Linked DNA regions of Sus scrofa. The protein of the gene in region 5 interacts with the protein of the main gene of each other region in a pairwise test. Links are inferred from orthologs where the notes say so. Each region holds a gene or a part of one and is shown on either strand. Other genes may lie near its edges.

Region 1 (3,514 bases), on a different chromosome or scaffold from region 5:
AGGTACTATTATTGTGGCCTTTTTATTTATAAGGGGAATGAAGCTCAGGGTAGTCAGGTAGCTTACCCATGAGTGGTGAGCCCAGGTTTTGAAGTCTGTCTGAATCCAGTCAGTGGTTCTTTTGTTCGTTTTCTTTTGTTTTGCTTTTGAGGGCCGACCCCACAGCATATGGAAGTTCCCAGGCTAGGGGTCAAATCAGAGCTGCAGTTGCCAGCCTACACCACAGCCACAGCAACGCCAGACTCGAGTTATGTCTGTGGCAATGCCTGATCCTTAACCAACTTGAGGGAGGCCAGGGATCAAACCTGAATCCTCATGGATCCTAGCGGGGTTCATTACCGCTGAGCCACTACGGGAACTCCCGCAGTCAGTGGTTCTTAAATGCCTATGCAATAACGCCCCAAGACTTAATGGAACCCTCTCTTTTGGTCTCAGCACAGCATCTCTTGAATGTGTCTGCCCTTTGGCCTCTGCCATAATCACCTTCCTACTGGCAATCACACGAGTCTCCTCCCTAGCTTCTCAGTTCATCCACGCTCCAGGGTTGTTTTTTTTTTACCCTAAGATGATTCAATTTCAGAGTTCCCATCATGGCGCAGTGGTTAACGAATCCTACTAGGAACCATGAGGTTGCGGGTTCAATCCCTGGCCTTGCTCAGTGGGTTAAGGATCCGGCGTTGCCGAGAGCTGTGGTGTGGGTCACAGACGTGGCTCGGATCCCGAGTGGCTGTGGCTCTGGCGTAGGCCGGTGGCTACAGCTCCAATTAGACCCCTAGCCTGGGAACCTCCATATGCCGTGGGAGTGGCCCTAGAAAAGGCACAAAGACCAAAAAAAAAAAAGAAGATGATTCAATTTCTCATTTTATTCTTATTACATTGTTCTGAGAAAGAAAAGAATCAAACTATTAGGGAGTTGCTGTTGTGGCTCAGCGGAAACAAATATGACTAGTGTCCACCCACAGTGATCTTCACAACCAGCTACCAATCTACTCTTCCAGCCTTATCTGCGGCCAGTCACTCAACTGATCAACAAATATTGAGTATCCACTATATGCCAGACCCTGTTACAGGCACTTGGGATACATCTATAAACAAACAGGAAGAAAAATCTCTGCCGTTATGGCATTCACACTTTTTTTTTCTTTTTGAGGGAGATGAGGTAAGTGGGAGGAAACAGAGACAAACCATAAACATAAGAAAGGTAATCACAGAAACCATTAGAATGTACATAAAAATGCTATAAAAAAAGAAAACAGATGAGGGTTTGGGATGGAAATGCTGTAAAATTTGGTTGTGATGATTGTTGTACATCTATAAATGTAATAAAATTAATTAATTTTTTAAAAAAGAAAAAAAGCGAAAAAAAAGAAAGAGAAAGAAAACAGAGCAAGGGAAGGGAGATCAGAGTTTGGGGTGCGGGGGTGTTGAACAGTACAGTGACAGCAGGCCTCCCTGGGCAGGTGACTTCCGAGCAGAGCCCGGAATTTTCCCTCTTACGAGACATGCCACTGCACACACTGTTTCCTCTTTCTGGAATATTCTTCCACTGCCTCTATACGAGCCTTGAAACCAGCTCAGATTTCACCTTCTCTATAAAATCTTTCCCAGCGTCCCTGGACTATCTCATTTATCTTTTTGTAAGACCTTTTCTGGGAGTTCCTGTTGTGGTTCAGCGGGTTAAGAACCTGTCATAGTGTCCATGAGGATGTGGGTTTGATCCCTGGCCTCACTCATTGGGTTAAGGATCTGGAGTTGCCACAAGCAGCAGTGTGGGTCTGAAAGCCATGGTGTAGGTCAGAGATGTATTGCAGATCCCATGTGGCTGTGGCTGTGGCGTAGGCTGGCAGCTGCAGCTCCGATTCGACCTCTAAGCCTGGGAACTTCCATATGCCGCAGGTCAGCTGTAAAAAGAAAAAGAAAAAGGAAAAAGAAAAGGATATCTTTTCTGTACCACTCGCCTCCTATTCACTGCGTGTGTTTATGGGGGCGGATACCTTTTCTAGACAATAAGCTCTTTTTTTTTTTTAGGGCTGCACTCGTAGCACATGGAGGTTCCCAGGCTACGGGTCAAATCGGAGCTGTAGCCGCTGGCCTACGCCAGAGCCACAGCAACGCCAGATCCAAACAGCATCTGCGACCTACACCACAGCTCACGGCAACGCTGGATCCTTAACCCACTGAGTGAGGCCAGGGATCGAACCTGCAACCTCATGGTTCCTAGTCAGATTCGTTTCCACTGCACCACAAGGGGAACTCTGACAATAAGCTCTGGAGAGCAGGAATCCTGCCTCGTAACTTTTATGCAGCAAATACCCAGCACAGTGCTTTGTACACAGTAGATGACCACTAAGTGCCTACTGACACAATGGATGAGCAGGATGTTGGGGGCGGGCTCTAGAAACTTGCTCCCACAGCAGGGAAAAATGATGGGAGTGATCTGATTGGGGTGCTGGGCTTTCCCGATCGCTAGGTGCTCACCTGTTTGATGATATAAGTTAGCTCCTCGATTTCCACTGCTTTATCATCAAAGAGGGACTTGCGCTTGGCCACTACAGAGATAAACAAGAGGCCATGACAGGTGAGGTTGAAGACAAGGCTCAAGCAGTCCGGCTCCTCAGCCCTCTCTGGTTCCTTCACTGCCCCAGCTCTCCAACGCCCCAAGAACACTCACGGATTGTCAGCTTCTCCAGCTTGGCAAAGGTGTTGCTGAGGTCTTTGCCAATGCGCCTGCAAACGGGAGTTAGTGAGAACGCTGCGGGGAAGCGAAGGAGAGGGCCTTTCCCACATTAGCACCAGCACCACCAACCCCAGCCCCCCTGGAGCCCAGGCCACAGGCAAGGCTACTTCTCTTTAGATGCTAGTCATCCCACCACAAAACTACTCTCAACTCACTTGGCCATGAGGGTGAATTCACTGCGCTGCCGGACAGCCCGCAGAGCTGGCTTGTTTGTCTGGATTCCATTCTGAAAGGCAATGTCAAGAGGTAGACCTTTTTTTTTTTTTTTTGGCTTTCTTTTTAGGGCCGCCCACGCAACACATGGAAGTTTCCAGGCTACGGGTCAAACTGGAGCTGCTGCTGCCGGCCACAGCCACAGCCACAGCAAAGCTGGATCCTTAACCCACTGAGGGAGCCCAGGGATCGAACCCGCCTTCTCACAGATGCTAGTCACATTCATTTCTGCTGAGCCATGGAACTCCAAGAGGCAGAACTTTAGCTTTCCCTCCCCATTTCCAGCTCTCACTATTCCTCAGGTGTCTGCTAAACTCATCCTCCAGCACCAGTGGCATCCTCCACCAGACAGTCCACACAGGTAGACACAGGTTCAAATCTTGACATCACCAATCACTAGATGGGAGCTTGGGACAAGTTACATAAACCATTCTGAATCTCTATTTCCTCTTCTATAAAACGAAGACACCTCCTATTGTTGTTGCTAAAATTAAAAAATATAAGGGGGGGAGTTCCCGTCATGGCTCAGTGGTTAGGAACCATGACGTCACAGGTTCAATTCCT
Region 2 (3,514 bases), on a different chromosome or scaffold from region 5:
GGATCTACACTGTTATGGCCTTTGTTTCTTATTTGAAGCTCTATGTTCCACAGGTTTTATGCTATTAAAAAAAGTTAATCCGTCACTATTCCAGTGGACTTTAGAGAGGGAGCAGAGATGAAAGGTTGTGTTCTCTTCACCATCTTTAAATGGATGTCCGCCAGGCTCTGCTGTCTCCCTCACATGGATAATTGCTCAAGCAATTAGTCCTTTCCTATTCCCATAATGAATTTTAGGGTAGGTACGCATTTTAGACAAATTAATCTGAATGCCTAGATTCCTGTTCCGCCAGCTTCCTGGTCTCCCTGCGTCTGGTCTTTTCCACTATGGTTCACCATCTAGACCACAGATACATGGGCTTCCCCCCAAAGGTAAACCCGATCATGGCATTACTAACAACAGCCTTCCTTCGCTGGGGTTCTATTTCCCATTACCCTTTGCATAAAAAGTCCTACCTCCTTAACATGGCTTCTAAGGCTTTCTCTGATCCGTTCTCTGCCTCCTTGATTTGACTCCTGCAACATCCCTCTCAATCCCCATGCTCTGGACACACTCACCTTCTCTGTTCCATGTACTTTTCCAGCTCTGAATTGTCACAGGGGCTCTTCCGTCCTTTCATTAGACCCCCTTTCCGCTCCCTCCTCCCACCCCCAATCTCACCCCGCCTGGCTGCCTTCTACTCATCCTTCCAGTCCCTGTTAACCCCTCTTCTCGTCTCAGGGACTTTAGACGTTAGGTCTGCAGTTTAGGCTATCAGGGCTCTCCAGGCACTCGCACTTCCCCCATCATGGCACCCTGCACTTCTCTGTCACCATTAATGACCTGTAGCAATCCATCCAGTGGCCTCTATGATGACAGAGACACCGTCTATTCTCCTGGCTCTTCTTTGGATACCAGAGGACTTCCCACAGAACAAGATGCCCAGTTTGAATCTGTAATGAATGAATCTATGATGTGGAACACAAAACTGAGGTAGAAGAGTGTCTGAAATATCCTAGCAGAACTGCGTTTTTTTTTGTTTGTTTGTTTTTTTCAGAAAAAAATATTTGTAAAATAGGGTGTTATGTGGCATCATTTAAGAATGCTGGTTTGGGTATCATACTTTAGGAGCACATGGGAGTGCCCTGCTGGATCGGTGGGTTAGCGTTGGCACTGTAGCAGCTCAGGTTTAAATCCCTGGCCCGGGAACTTCCACATGCAGTGGGCATGGCCAAAAAAGGATGGGTGGGGTGCACAAAGAGATCATTCTTAAGGAAAAACGAAAAAATCCAGTTATGTCTTTTGTGTTTTCACTTTTTATTTTGGAGGAGGAAGATTTTTTTATTAATGGGAACTAAATTTATACTTTATTTCCTTTATGGAAATCAAAATTTAAGATGCAGAGCAAAAAGTTCTATTTGGTGTAGCTGGAGAGTCACAGGATGTTAAGGTGACCTAGGTCCTCTCCTCTTTGGGACAAGTATCTCCAGAGGTCACACAGCCATTATCAGTTTCACATGTCCATTCATAACAGCACTTCAAGTGTCCAGAGGAATTTGCACCTGTTTTTTCAGGTGTTTAAAAATATTAATAACTTTGCCTAAACCCTGTTGAAAATTGCATCTGACAGATTTGCTTCTTTTGGAGAGGCTAGTTTGTAAAACAGAATAAAGATGCAGCTATAAACAAAACAGCTTTTGGTTTTTCTAGCCATGTAACTGTCAGGCTTTTTAGGGGTCCTCCCCACCTCCCTGCAGCAAGAGGGGCGTCTCAGCACTCACACTGCCTGCTCCTCCAGCTCCCCTCCGATGCGCTGGGACATGTTCTTCAGCACCCCGATGCTGCCAGAGACCAGCTCCAACTGCTCGTCCTGCTGTTCCACGATCAGCTGGTGCCAGAGAAATGGGAAATAAGCAATTAAATCCATCTTACCTGATTCCAAGCCCAGCACCCGAGCAGCTGCTAGCTTCTTTGCCAACTCGGGACAATTCACATTCAGAAGCAAAGCCCAGAAATCAAAGGACCAGACCGTCGCCTCCGAGAACATGCTGCTCAAAAGGCTGGGTTGTCAAGCTATGGCCATCCCCTGCTGCTCCAACTTGTGAACAGTCAGCAGGGCTTGAAACCACCCAGGGAGATTTACCCTGCTTGGCTGAAGTCCAACAAGGAGCAGACAATAGGCAAAAGCACCTGTGCAGTGACCAGAGACACATGGGGAAGCTTGGGAAAAGGAAGCCCGCTGCCAGGGTCAAGGTCTCAATCCGCCACAGCCAGCCACAGCTTAACTACAAGAGAAAGTCTGGCAGATCTTCTCTGGACGTGAGAAAACCATGCACACAGAGTCTACTGCTCCCTCCTCAAGGACAAACTAGAAGAGGCTCTGAGGCAGCAAGTTACCTCCAGGACAACTTTTGAGCAAGAATTACTTTAGCCTCCTCACTTTTTATTAAAAAAAAAAAAGTTTTCTTGGCTAATAGAGATTTAAGTAGACAACTGGTTAGGCCAATGTGCTAATGGAAGAGGAACATGTAACTTATGGGTATACAGGAAACACCATATTTAAGAACCAATAGTTCTGACACATAGATAATCCTCAAATGCCCAGACATTTTACCATTAGCTTCCTTTTAGTAATATGACGGCACAGCAGAAGCAATTATACAGATGTAACCAATCTCACCTTCCTTTTACCCTTTAACTTCCACCAAAGCAATCACTTTTTATGTATAATGGAACCAACAATAATTTTCAATGAAAAAACAAAGACTCAATTTTTCTGAAAGTGCCTTTGTGGAAATGAACAAAAAGCTGAGCTCACAAGTAGAGGATGCAGAAGAGGCTACTATTTTTAAGTCAATGGCCTCTGTTAGCTCTGGGTGTCTGGTCTGCTTGTCCTAAGAAATCTAATCAAGCTTGGTTCTCTTCAAGCTGTCATGCTCTGAAGGAAGCTGTAAACACCCTTGATACAGGCAATCATCACACAGGTAGACTCAGGCAGCTGCAGGGCGAGCTCGGGTCCATCCCGCCTGTCATTAGCAACAAAGGCCTGCTGGCAGGGGAGCGGAGGGAGGTGCCCCCACCTCCTACCTCCCTGTCCTCAGCTGTGGGTCTCAGGTACCTGCTGCTGTGCCTGCTGTTCCTCGATGAAATGGGAGTTGGCCAGCTGGAGCTCCCGGTCGAGGCGCCCATATTTATCCGTCGTCCCAGTGCTCCAGTTCTGCCCGCCACTGTCTCCTAGCAGGGCCTGCGAGGGCAAGGCAGAAGAAACAATTAGCACCTCTGAACGAGCGCCCCATCACCGTGATATAGAGAGCTCTCCCGCTGTGCATACGCCATCTTCTCTGGGGTCAGCCTTTTAGGTAGTGGTGGAGGCTGGTGCCTGCGTGGTACAATTTAACCAATGCTAGGAAGGAACTCTGTCTCCAAGATCTCCCAGTGAGACTTGCAAATGGGCTCTGTCCAATGAAATGCAAACAAAAGTCAACTTTAAATCAACAAATGCCTGTGTGGGTACTGCTTTATGGATCTAAAAAAC
Region 3 (3,320 bases), on a different chromosome or scaffold from region 5:
CAGACGCGGCTCGGATCCTGCATTGCTGTGGTGTGGTGTAGACTGGCAGCTACAGCTCCAATTAGACCCCTAGCCTGGGAACCTCCATATGCCGTGGGAGTGGCCCTAGAAATGGAAAAAAAAAAAAAAAAATTAACAGAGGCAATTATTTGTCACAGTGCCTCTTCTTGGCCTCAGCAGCGCCCTCAGATGCCACACACACACACTCAGCTCACCCGTGTCCAGCCTGGCCTGGCCCAGCCTCGCTGCTGTGGGGTTAGGTGGTCACGGGGTCTTTCCCCAGGGACAGTGGGTTGATGTGGGTGTTACCCCCTCCCGGCCCCACCTGTTCTCATGGGAGAGTAGAAGGGCAGTGGCAGGCTGGCATGGCCACAGCACCCAGGACAGTCTGATCTGAGGCTACCTGGGCTGGGCCTGTCCGCAAGGGTGGCCAGGAGGTGGAAGGCGGTGGAGACCTGGAGGCCCTGGACCAGCCTTTTCAGCAACACATGTGCAAAGGAGATTCTCCAAACTTTTTTTTTTTTTTTTTTAATTTCTTACAAAACCACGGGTCCCAGCCAAAGAGGACACGGCAGGCCTGCCCCCAGGCATGGTGGCCCAAGGGGGGGAGGCCCCATGGATGAGTGGCTGCCGGCCCTGGAAGAACCGTCTGCCCCTCTGGCCAGTGTGAGGAAGGGGTCGGGCTGGAGGCTCTGTCCTGCCCACCCCTGGCTTCGGGGAGGGAAGGCAGCCCCTGGGTCCCTGGTGCTCTTAGCGCCTGCAAGGGAAGGAGGGAGAAGAGGGTCTGAGGGGAGGAGGAGAGGCTGGGGGCAGGGAGGGGGCAGGCTGGGGGGGCCCCACAGAATCTCACCGAGAATCCACGATGCTGTCACACCAGAATGGAGACGCTAATGATGACCACCAGGATAAGGAGAGTGACGGACAAACAGATGGCGATAAAGACTTTCTTCTGTAGGAGAGGAGGAGGGGGGATGGTCGGGGAAACTCTCGGGGGGCGGGGGGAGAGAGCCCCCCCCAGGGCAGGGGAGTGGGTGGCGGGACGCTCACCTTCCTTGCCTTCTTCTGGTTCTCCAGGGCCATCTTGACGTGTTCCTGCCCACGTTCCACATAGTCTGCTGAGCTCAGAATGTTCTTCTCGATTCGGTTGATCATCTCCCCCTGCTCAGAAGAGGAGGGAGGGTTCAGGCGGGTAGGAGGGACTCGGGGTGGAGGCCCAGCAGCTCCTCTGTCTGCCCACCACAGCCCCAAGACTGAAGGGCGTTCCTGGCTGAAAACAGGGCACTAACAAAGGCATGGAGAAGTTCCCATTGTGACTCAGCGGGTTAAGAACCTGATTCGTACCCAGAGGATGCGGGTTCGATCCCTGGCCTCGCTCAGTGGATTAAGGATCCGGCGTTGCCGTGAGCTGTGGTGTAGGTCACAGATGCAGCTCAGATCTGGTGTTGCTGTGGCTGTGGTGTAGGCTGGCAGCTGCACCTCTGATTCAGCCCTTAGCCTGGGAACTTCCATATGCCCTGGGTGCGGCCCTAAAAAGACAAAACAAAAAACAAAAGTGGAGGCAGGACCACATCTGGCCGAAGTTCACACTCCAAAGGGGGCTTCCAAGCCCCCTTCTACCTTGTGGTCCCTTCTGCCCTGCTCCCTTGCCACCTATAGCCTCTACTGGCAGGGCTGGCTGGGAGCTGGGTGCCTTTAATGGCTCATATCTTTTCATGGAGGGCAAGCTTCTGTCCCCTCACAAATCAGTCTGAATTCACCTGTTCTAGGCCTGACTCCCAGCTGCTGTGAAGCTCCCTGATCCCTGTCTCCTCCCGGCACTGCCAGCCTTCAGGTCCTGGTGCTCCTGCTGAGCAAAATCTCTTCCCTGGGAAGAGCAATGGCTCCAGCACTCACGGGGTAAGAGCTCCTTCTGGACGGGGTTGGAAGCACCCCTTCTCTTATAGACCAGGGCTGGGAGAAGAACACCATCGCCCGCCCCATGCTTGTGCAAGTTCTGGGAGGCAGGTCCTCTGGGGGGCAGTTCAGGTGCTCTCAGAGGTATAAGGGTGGAGTCTGTTAGTGGAGGGGGAGCCAAAGTTGGGGCCATGCCCGAGGTGGGCTCAAGTTTGAGGACTGGGGTGCAGTGCACAGAAGAGTGGCCATCTGGGTAGCTGTTGAGGAGGATACGATTTTTCTTTTCTTTCTTTCTTTTTTTTTTTTTCTTTTTAGGGCTGCACCCATAGCATATGGAAGTTCCCAGGCTAGGGGATGAATTGGAGCTGCAGCTGCCGGCCTACGCCACAGCCAAAGCGATGCAGGATCCGAGCCGCATCTGCAACCTACACCACAGCTCACAGCATTGCCAGATCCTTGACCCATGGAGCGAGGCTAGGGATCGAACCCACATCCGCATGGATACTAGCTGGGTTCATTATCGCTAAGCCCCAGGGGGAACTCCTGAGGAGGACGCAATTTGGAGGCACAGCTAAGATGGAAGTACAGGCCAGTCTGGAGGAGAACAGAAGCCTCGCAGAGAGAGGCTAAGAGTGGAGGTGGGCGGACAGTCACAGCAGGGGTTCTGGTTGAGCAAGGTCTCACATGTGGGGGCAGGATCAAGCCCAGCCGGCTGCCTGGGGCGCCCACCTGCATCTCCACCTCCGTAGCCAGAAAAGTGAAGATCTCATGAAGTTCACGGATACTGCGCTCGAGCTGCTGGATCTCGCTGTGCCGGGCCGAGATCTCATTTAGAGCCTGTCGAGTCACCTGTGTGTCCTTCAGTATCTGGAGAGTGGACAGGGGTGGAGGGAGAGGTCACAGGGAAACCAGCCATAGGCTCAGAAGTTCATGGTGATGCATGAAAGTAAACTCAAAATGGCTTAAAGACTTAAATATAAGACAAGACACCATCAAACTCCTGGAAGAGAACAAAGGCAAAACATTCTCAGACATCAACCTTATGGCTATTTTCTCCCAAAGCAACAGAAATAAAAGCAAAAATAAACCAATGGGACCTAATCAAACCGACAAGCTTTTGCACAGCAAAGAAAACCAAAAAGAAAACAAAAAGACAACTTACAGAATGGGAGAAAATAGCTTCAAATGATGCAACTGACAAGGGCTTAATCTCTAGAATATATAAGCAACTTACACAACTCAACCACAAAAAAGCCAACAACCCAATGGAAAAATGGGCAAAAGATCTGAACAGACATTTCTCCAAGGAAGATATACAGATGGCCAACAAGCACATGAAAAAATGCTCAATGTCCCTGATTATTAGAGAAATGCAAATCAAACCTACCACGAGATACCATCTCACACCAGTCAGAATGGCCATCATT
Region 4 (4,285 bases), about 28 Mb from region 5:
CGGCTCGCCGGGGTAGGGGAAACCCGTCCTGCCGGAGCCCCGAGCCCGGGGAAGGCGAGGCCGTTCCGCGATCCCGACCCGCTCAGGCCCGCGCGCCCAGCCCAGGCCGCTTCTGGCTTGGGCTTCGGCTCGGGGGCGCCCATAGGGTAACCTCCTGCCACCGGTGGGGTGGCCTTGGGCGGCTCGTGGCGTGGCCCCGGGGCCAGACACCCCGCAGGACTCTGGCCTCCCTTGCGGGGTGACCGCAGGGCCGCTGCCCGCCGCGTTCGGGCTCGGGTAGCTGGATCCCAACGCGCTCAAGCGGAGCCCCCTCCCGAATCCCGCCTATCCGGACACCCAACAGAGTGTCGGGGTCGTGGGGGGTCTCCCGGACCCGATCCGACTGCGGGAAAACGAGCCGGGGGCGCCGGGGGCGCGGGGCCAGGCTTGGCACGCGGGCCCAGGGGGTAGGGAAAAGTTGTTGGGGGCGGGGGGCTGTCGAAGTTTCGGGGAACTTTTCCACTTGAGATTCTACAACCCTGCAGTGCCCCCTACAGAAAGCTGCAGCCGGGGAGGGCGGGCGCCCCCCACGACCCCCCCGGCTGCCAGCAGCGGCGCGGCCCAGGCGGCCTGGAGCTCTAGCTGTAGCTTTGGCATTTTTTTTTTACCCCCCCTCCTGGTTGTTTTTCTGATACATCTTTTTTTTTCAGAATTGGAGAAAAAAAAAAAAAAAAAGCGAGCGCGAGCCGCCGCCTGCAGTGGAGCGTGCTCGGCCTCCAGAGGCAGTCGTCTCCAACTTTTCCTCTCCCTCCCCAACTCCGCGCGCGTCTCGAAACTTCGGCGCTGCTGGAGCCCAAATTTGCCTGCCGCTCGACTCCACTCTAATAAGCGCGCCAAGGCCCCTGGCACTTGTCTGCAACGTGGGGGCCACGCTCTCGAGGCTCAGGCCTGCCCGCAGGCCCGCTCCCGGTGCCTAGGCCCAGTTAGGGAAGGGGAAACCGAGCGGTCCCGGGAGCACCCCGGGAGAGGGCGGAGCGCGCCCGTGCCCCGGGGCAGAGGGGTAGGGATCTCCCGCGCCCGGAACGTTGCGAGCAAGGCTTGTGAACGTCGCAGGGGGGCACTCGCGAGAGACGGACAGGAAGAGGGCCAGGGGGAACGCCAGAACCCGGGACCGTAGCACGGAAACGGCCCGGGGCTGAGCAGCAGGCAGATCCGGGGATGGAGGGAGCCGGAGAAGAGGAGTGAGGAGGCCGTGGGGGCAGGCCCTGCTGCCCTCCTGGAGGCCGGCAGCCTGCTGTGGCAGTGGAGAAGCGGGCTGCCCACAAAGGGAAGGGGTCAGGAGGTCGGGCCCCGGCCCTAGCAGGCTCCGACAAGGCCCCAGTGGGGAGCAGCAGCAGCCCAGGGCCCAGGCCTGGCCTCGGGTTGGCCAAAGGGGGCCTAAACCAGGCCTCCCCGGCCTCTGCTGGGGGAACTGAGCCAGAGGCAGGCCTCAGGGCACGGCCCAGACGCGTGTGAGCCCTGCTAGAGCGAGGGAACCAGAGGGAACCAGGGCCCTAAAGGGTGTCAGAGACTAATGTGGTAGGGGGCTTCAGAGCCTCCCAGTCCAGAGCCGGATTGGCGAGTTAGACGCTTGTAGATCCGAGGTCGGATTGGGGAGGGGGTCTCTGGGAAGTTGGCTAGCAACGCAAGGATTGGGGGGATTTAAGTGCTTAGAGATCGAAGCAGGTCGTGGGGAGGGGGACTCAGACAATTGGAAAGCCTGGGCGGTTATTTGGGGAGGGGTCTTTGCGCTCAGAGGAAGCTCGAAGCAGCACCTGCTTGGCTAAAGGCCTGAGGCTTTGTCAAGAGAAGCTTCTGTGGAGGGGGGGGCCCGACTAGGCCAAGCTGCAAGAAAGAAAGTGAATAAACCTGGACTTGAAGTGGGTGGGGGCCCCTGAGAGGGGAATCACAAAGGGTGAGCCATGGCCACCAGGCGTTTAACCGACGCTTTCTTGTTGTTGCGGAATAATTCCATCCAAACCCGGCAGCTGTTAGCCGAGCAAGTGAGTAGTCACACCACCTCCAGCCCTCTGCATTCACGTAGCATTGCTGCGGTGAGTCTCTTGGCGGCCTCTCCGACACACGCCCCGTGTGCACTGCGGCTCTGCCTGTCTGTCTGTCTCTGTCTGTCTCTCTGTTTAAAAAAGAAGATAAGTCTAGCACGGAAGTGCAAGGTCTCTTGGCAAAGGTCCGAGAGCAGCGATAACCCTGGATGGGGGAAAAAAAAAAACAACAGTTTGAGGCCCCCGTTCCACCTCTGCCTTGCCCTCTCTCACTTCCGCATCCCTTCCAATTCCTCCCCCTTCCCCCCCCCAGCCGTCACTGCACGACCGGCCGCCTCCAATTTACATATGTTTTAGCGCTAAGATTTGGAAGCTTTGGGCCTTTTTTGTTTCATTTTGTTTTAGCCGCCCCCCCCTCCGCCCCCGCATCCTGAGCCTCGCTTTGGTTCTCAGGGTCGAGATGCAGGATCTCAGACCTAAATCCTTGCAAATGAACCATACCCTCCCCCAAACGAGGAAGGAGCTGGTGTTTTATTATTTTTTTTTTCCCCCCCTGTTTTCTTTTAATGGCCTCGCAGCCCTCTGGGTGGCCGTGTTCCCTGTGAATAATTGCTTCCCTGTTTTTTTCCTGGGGGCTCTTTTTGTGAGGCTGTAAGGTGCTAGCTTCCTCGTTTACCATTCCCAGACAGGAAATTAAGCGTTCCCCTCCATGCGAACTTTAAAAACAAAAAGACAAACAAAAAAACCAGGGCGTGTATGTGAAAATTAAACCCCCCGCCCCAATAGCACAGGGTTTTCTATTTAATTCACCTGAACCTTTCCTTAGCCCAGCAGTAGAATCTTTTACTGGGGAGGGCCTGGGAAGATGACTGTTGTGGGGGTTTGTTTGTTTTGGCTGAGGGTTACTTTCCCTTTTCTGAACCTCAGTTTCCTGCTCTGTTGAATAAGGGGGTGAGAGGGGGTGGGCTCGGGGAGAGGGCCTTGGTGGGCTCTGTGCTGTCTTGAATTGGAAGGTGAAGGAAGACCTGAAACTATAGTCTGTCGTGGGCTCCTTGCTGGAGCCAGGCTGAGTCTGAAAAGAAGCGCATTGGAGAAAGAGCCAGTGGAGTCTGGCTGAGACCGTATTCTTGGGGGTTATACTGGACACACTCAGTTTGGGGGACCTCACCCTTGTTTCACCTCTTAGGGACTGTTTTCCCCTTTTCGTTTTTTTCTTTATGACTTGATCTAAATGCTTCAGAAGAATTATGCCATCTGTCCTGCTCAGTGGCAGAGCGCCTGCAAAGGCAGTTTCTTCCCTTTTGTAAATCACAAGTGCAGAATGTCTTTGGCCATCTTGCTTATAGAGAAAAGCTGTTTTAAACTGTGTGAGCAATTTTAGGCATAAAATCACAGTCAATTTAGGTCAAAAAGCATAGAAAATGGGGTGTTTAGGCTTTCATTTGCTCAGGAATTTGAAGGTTTTTTACATTTGTACACTGAAAGAAATGGGATTTTATTGAAGTAAGTGCAAAAGGGAAAAGGGCTAATTCTAGCGCTGATTTTGAAAAGAATGTTCTGAAATAAGCCAAGACGGAGAGCGTAGAATTGAATGGGAAAAAAAAAAAAAAATTCCTTAAGGGAACTTTAGTTTTGTTAAATAGGATGTAAAAATTAAATGGTTCCTTAAATGGCTTGATTTTATGCTACCTCATGGGGGGAAAAAAAAAGCCAGAATTAAAACTCTTGTTAAGATTTCTAAGATATCAGTTTTAACTGATTTTAAAACATAATATTTGCCTTAAAATGTTTAATCATTTAAGGTTCAAAATACACTGAACCGTTGGATAGCAGGAGGCTTTTTTTCTTTTTTAATCATTGGGTCAGATGGTATAAAAATCTGGTGTCTAATAAGACGGGCAGCTTTTTAAAAGTGCATCTCTAAGTCAAAACCTGTTTTTAAAATGGTTTGCTAAGTTAGGCAATTTAAAAAATATATAAACTAAGTCAATTTAAAATATGTAGCTAAAATACACAATTTGGAAAAATAGATATGTCAGAAAATGCACAGATGTATTTAGCTATCTCCTACATATTTTTGAAAATAGATTTCTAACTCAAACTGAAAAAACATGTCTAAGGCAGAACACTAGAAAATATTTTCTGTGTATTACACCATGTAACATGTTAACACATATTGGTTTGACTATTTAAAATCTTTTTCAGATCATTTTTAAGCAATTGGATCATTTAAAATATCTTTGTAGTTGGTTCAGACTATTTAA
Region 5 (3,966 bases):
TGTGTTCACTGCTGCCTCTAATTTCCTGCCTCCTTCTTCCCCAATACTGCTCCAAATTAGCTCTTTGAAGTCAGAATAACAGATGCAGTGAAAGTAAATAAACTCTGGGATCTGAAGCTCCCTTCAGTCTGGAGTGCCTGCACTGCAAGCTCTGCAACATTTGCTTTAGTGACCTTTCTTTCTAGGAGTTTGGCCCTTCTTGCCTTTCTCTCAAGACAGCTTCATTTTCTTAAATGTATTTTGTGTGCCAGTGCCCACAGTGTATTTATTAATAGTTTGAAATTGTCACAAGTTCTCATTTGGCAGTGGTTTTCATATTTGCTTCACCACCTCTGCTTTAGCATTGCCAAATGTAAATGGTCTAGACTTTGTATGAAAAAATAACTCCCTCTGGGACAGTCCTGGAAGTTGCTGGCACACAATAGCCCCTATCTATGGATACCTCTCCTGGGAGATTCGAAGTCTTCCTGGCAGGGAGAATGGCTGTCCCAGAGGCCCACCCCACAATATGGCCAACATTATGTAAAGAGCAAGAGAGCTCAATTGCTCACATCCACTGAAAAGAATCCAGTCAATAAAAAGGGAGAATTATGCACATATTGCATATGTGCAAGTCTTCTATAGCCTAGGAAGAGACGCCTGACAGATCTAAACGCCTTGCTCTGGAGAAAAACATGGCTCTTCCTGCAGCTGTAGCTGGAGCGTGGGAAGATGGGCCAGTATCACAAGGTTTGTGCAGCTGCTTGGGTGGCCGCCTTACAGCGTGCTCTCAGAATGCAAGCGGTACAGTGGAGCTTTCCAGCCTGCCACCCGCCGTCTCCCGGTCCACGCCGTTATCCCGCGTCCCATCCATCCCGTTATCCCGTGTCCTCCCCGTCCATCCCCTGACCACGGTCGGTCGTGCTGGGCAGGGACTCCTGAACTAACGTGATGCTAGTGTTTGAGGCGGTCTTCCTTGGAAGCCGTGGGAACTTTTCCATTTCCCGCCTCCTTAAACTGTCAATACTCTCCTCGGTAGAGGGCCCTACAGAGGGTGAGGACCCCGGTCCCGAAGCCCCTGCCTCCAGCCGGCTCCGCGGCCTTCTGGGAGTTGTAGTTGACGCCTCGCACACTCCCGCCGCCAGGCCACCGCTCGGACTACAACTTCCGACAGGCTGCGCGCCGCGCCTGCGCGCCCCTCCGCTGCCAGAGGACGAGGCGCGGGAGACGCGTTCGGCTCGGGAGTAGCTTGTGGAGGCGGCCGCGGCTGTCGACATGGACAACGCAGGGAAGGAGCGAGAGGCGGTGCAGCTGATGGCGGAGGCCGAGAAACGAGTCAAGGCCTCCCACTCCTTCCTCCGCGGGCTCTTTGGGTGAGCGCCAGACCGCGCGGGTCCTGAGGGGAGGGTTTCCATTCCAGGAGGCGGCCCACACTTTACTCAGGGTCCCCGGGGCCTTCCACGCGCCCTTCAGGGGTCCCCTAGGATCCCCCGGGCACCCACAAACCTTTGGGGACCACCGAGCTCCCCCCATCCCCCCACGCGCACGCCAGGAAGTCTCTCCACCCCCCGGCCCCGCCCCCACACACCCCAGGGATCCCCAAGGGCACTCTATAACCCCCCCACACACGCCCTCCTGGGACCCTCTCGGCCACCCCGACACTCTCCAGGGATTCCCTAGGACCCTCAAGCGCGCACCCTCCCCGACCTGGCGTTCGTGGCCCTCCCCACCGCAGCCACACGGGTTTGTTATTTCTCCACGCGTAGCTCAGGAGACCTGAGTGGGTGGAGGCGCTGGGAGGGTGGGCGGCGGGCTGGTGGTGGGGCCTAGCTTCCCGCATTCCACCACCCTGTGCCCGCGCCCCTTGCGCCAGGTACACATTTAATAAATACCCGTGGGAGGAACGAGTACGTTTTCTTCGTAGAAGGTTCATGTGAAACCCAGCCCAGGGCTTCCTACGGATTAAGGATAACGTAGCTCCTCTTTTAAGTCTGCGTCTTTGGGGAATCCCGTCCATTTTCAGTGATTCTTCTGTGCTTTCCTAGGGAAGGTCTTAAATTCGGACTTCCCAAAAAAGCAGAGCCTGCACTGACAGTTCTTGGACAGTAGAATATGTGAATGATTCAGCTGTTTAGGATGAGAGAGGCGGAAAATTCGTGGTGTTTTTCCGTTTTTCCCTTTGGAAAGGGAAAGATCCTCTGCGGACACCCAGAGCAAGTTTTTATTCTGAGGAGGACCAGGGACCCATCCTTAACTGTTGCGCTATTAGACACAGGTTTATTTCAGTTTAGAACCTGCTCGTTTTGCCACCCTCGTTCTTTTGGTTGTAATACTTAATCGTTGTTGAGCATCTCCATGAAATGCTAACTGCAGGTTTCACGCAGTGCTGGAGTGCGGGCTCAAAGGTACCAAAGGTCATTTATCCCAGCTGGTTTCTCAATTTCTCAGGTGATGTGAAGTTTGGATTATAGCAGTGAATTATAAATTTATTCCCCCCTTAAAAGTTAGGACAGTACATAAGGAGCCACTGCTTCTTACTTGATGGGAACACCAAACAAGAGTCCTTTCTCTGGTTCACAAAACAATTACAATTTATTCAATAAAATTTAACCACATAGCACCTCATGCCTAGAGGCAGTCTTAATGGCTCAGCATCTCAAGTCTGCATGGGCTTCCCTGGATGAGAACCTGTAATTGGCAGGGGAAAAAGCCTCAGGCACTTGATGCTTCTCAGGGGAGTGCCCCTTTCTATGCGGAGATGTTGCGGTGCTGTTTTTGTCACACTAGGCCAAATCTTGAGCCAGTAATTCTAAAAGGATTTTGAAAAGGCTTTTTGTTTTTAGAGAAAGGTCTTTTTCCTCCTTGACTGTTGATCACCTGTTTCGTTGGCAGGCTTTGATCCTCACCTTCACACTCAGTTTGCAGGAAAGTCAGTGCATCCTAGGTTGGGCCTGGATCCAGCAGGTCAGTCTGTCATTCTTGCTTTGGGCCTGGGGCATGTTCATTAGCCCCTCTGTGCCTAAGTTTCCTCTGCTATAAAATAGGGGTCACAGAGATACCTCAGTGAGTGAAGGTTCCAGGAGTATATGCTTGTAAAACATTGAGAATCATTAAAGATGGAGACGGTGAAATATTCATTAGCATATTCATTAGAATTGTCAGGCCCAGTTATTTTCAAGGAAGCAGAGAGCCAGACAGATCAAGTGGCTTTGCCAGGATTTCAGAGTCAAAGACCTTATGGACCGGATCATCAGTCTTTTCATGATGTAAAATATTTGAAAGAGCTTTGCCCCATGTAAGTGGTACTTATACTACGAGGACTGTGTGTTCAGTAATACTGGGCTCCAGAACAGCTTGGGGAAGATGCGTACTCAGTTCTCTGAGAGCTAATAGCATTATATAACTCCTTGAATCCAAAAACCAGGCCTGACTTTTCTGTTACTGTTGTGGGAAGAGTGATTCTGCACAGTGTTAGGTGTTTAGGATCTTACGTTACACCTGGCATCACTTGGAGCTGTCATCACCTTCTTAGGCGGGGGCACATGTCCCCCTGCCTCCCATCCCTCAGCCAAAGAATTCCCTGTCTGCTTGTTAAGCCACAGTGAACTCCATCTTCATGTCAGACTCCTCGGTAACACTCAGCCACAGAGTATCGAAGTATCACAAAGTCCATGTGCTTAAGAGCCAACAGTTGTGCTTTGAAGAGGGCAGTTGATGCTGCTTGGGACCAGGGCGGCCCTTACAAGGTGCCCAGCGGGCCACAGACCCCTCATCCCGGCTGCAGATTAAAACCTGATAGCAGTTGGTCCTCTTCACTCACTGTTGATACACCTCCTGCGCCAGTTTTGTGGCAATGCTGTATTCTCACTACTATTCTGTAGCGCTTCCTTTTTTGTTGCTTTCAGTAAAATTAGATGAAAACACGCATTATGTGTTCCGAGGAAAAGGCAGTCACACATTCTCCTATGTGTAAGATGCAAGTCCAAG

The links.
Region 1: the proteins of NAPB (region 5) and STX5 interact in binary tests that used the Homo sapiens proteins (3 or more experiments, as listed by UniProt). The two-hybrid records come from large-scale screens. The link is inferred for Sus scrofa from reciprocal best matches to the Homo sapiens genes NAPB and STX5.
Region 2: the proteins of NAPB (region 5) and STX6 interact in binary tests that used the Homo sapiens proteins (3 or more experiments, as listed by UniProt). The two-hybrid records come from large-scale screens. The link is inferred for Sus scrofa from reciprocal best matches to the Homo sapiens genes NAPB and STX6.
Region 3: the proteins of NAPB (region 5) and STX4 interact in binary tests that used the Homo sapiens proteins (3 or more experiments, as listed by UniProt). The two-hybrid records come from large-scale screens. The link is inferred for Sus scrofa from reciprocal best matches to the Homo sapiens genes NAPB and STX4.
Region 4: the proteins of NAPB (region 5) and STX16 interact in binary tests that used the Homo sapiens proteins (3 or more experiments, as listed by UniProt). The two-hybrid records come from large-scale screens. The link is inferred for Sus scrofa from reciprocal best matches to the Homo sapiens genes NAPB and STX16.

What each region holds. Positions count from the first base shown.
Region 1 is NC_010444.4:8,940,775-8,944,288, reverse strand, and holds part of STX5 (syntaxin-5), read right to left. Parts: intron 2,964-3,514; coding exon 2,893-2,963; intron 2,728-2,892; coding exon 2,672-2,727; intron 2,550-2,671; coding exon 2,479-2,549; intron 1-2,478. UniProt on the Homo sapiens protein: Mediates endoplasmic reticulum to Golgi transport.
Region 2 is NC_010451.4:122,542,562-122,546,075, forward strand, and holds part of STX6 (syntaxin-6), read right to left. Parts: intron 3,224-3,514; coding exon 3,098-3,223; intron 1,868-3,097; coding exon 1,761-1,867; intron 1,542-1,760; coding exon of another isoform or gene 1,505-1,541; exon of another isoform or gene 1-1,504. UniProt on the Homo sapiens protein: SNARE promoting movement of transport vesicles to target membranes. Targets endosomes to the trans-Golgi network, and may therefore function in retrograde trafficking.
Region 3 is NC_010445.4:17,421,757-17,425,076, forward strand, and holds the end of STX4 (syntaxin-4), read right to left. Parts: intron 2,761-3,320; coding exon 2,623-2,760; intron 1,159-2,622; coding exon 1,048-1,158; intron 950-1,047; coding exon 869-949; 3' UTR 851-868; intron 758-850; 3' UTR 510-757; downstream 1-509. UniProt on the Homo sapiens protein: Plasma membrane t-SNARE that mediates docking of transport vesicles. Necessary for the translocation of SLC2A4 from intracellular vesicles to the plasma membrane.
Region 4 is NC_010459.5:58,838,858-58,843,142, forward strand, and holds the start of STX16 (syntaxin-16), read left to right. Parts: upstream 1-1,483; 5' UTR 1,484-1,940; coding exon 1,941-2,021; coding exon of another isoform or gene 2,022-2,072; intron 2,073-4,285. UniProt on the Homo sapiens protein: SNARE involved in vesicular transport from the late endosomes to the trans-Golgi network.
Region 5 is NC_010459.5:30,393,294-30,397,259, reverse strand, and holds the start of NAPB (beta-soluble NSF attachment protein), read left to right. Parts: upstream 1-1,154; 5' UTR 1,155-1,254; coding exon 1,255-1,352; intron 1,353-3,966. UniProt on the Homo sapiens protein: Required for vesicular transport between the endoplasmic reticulum and the Golgi apparatus.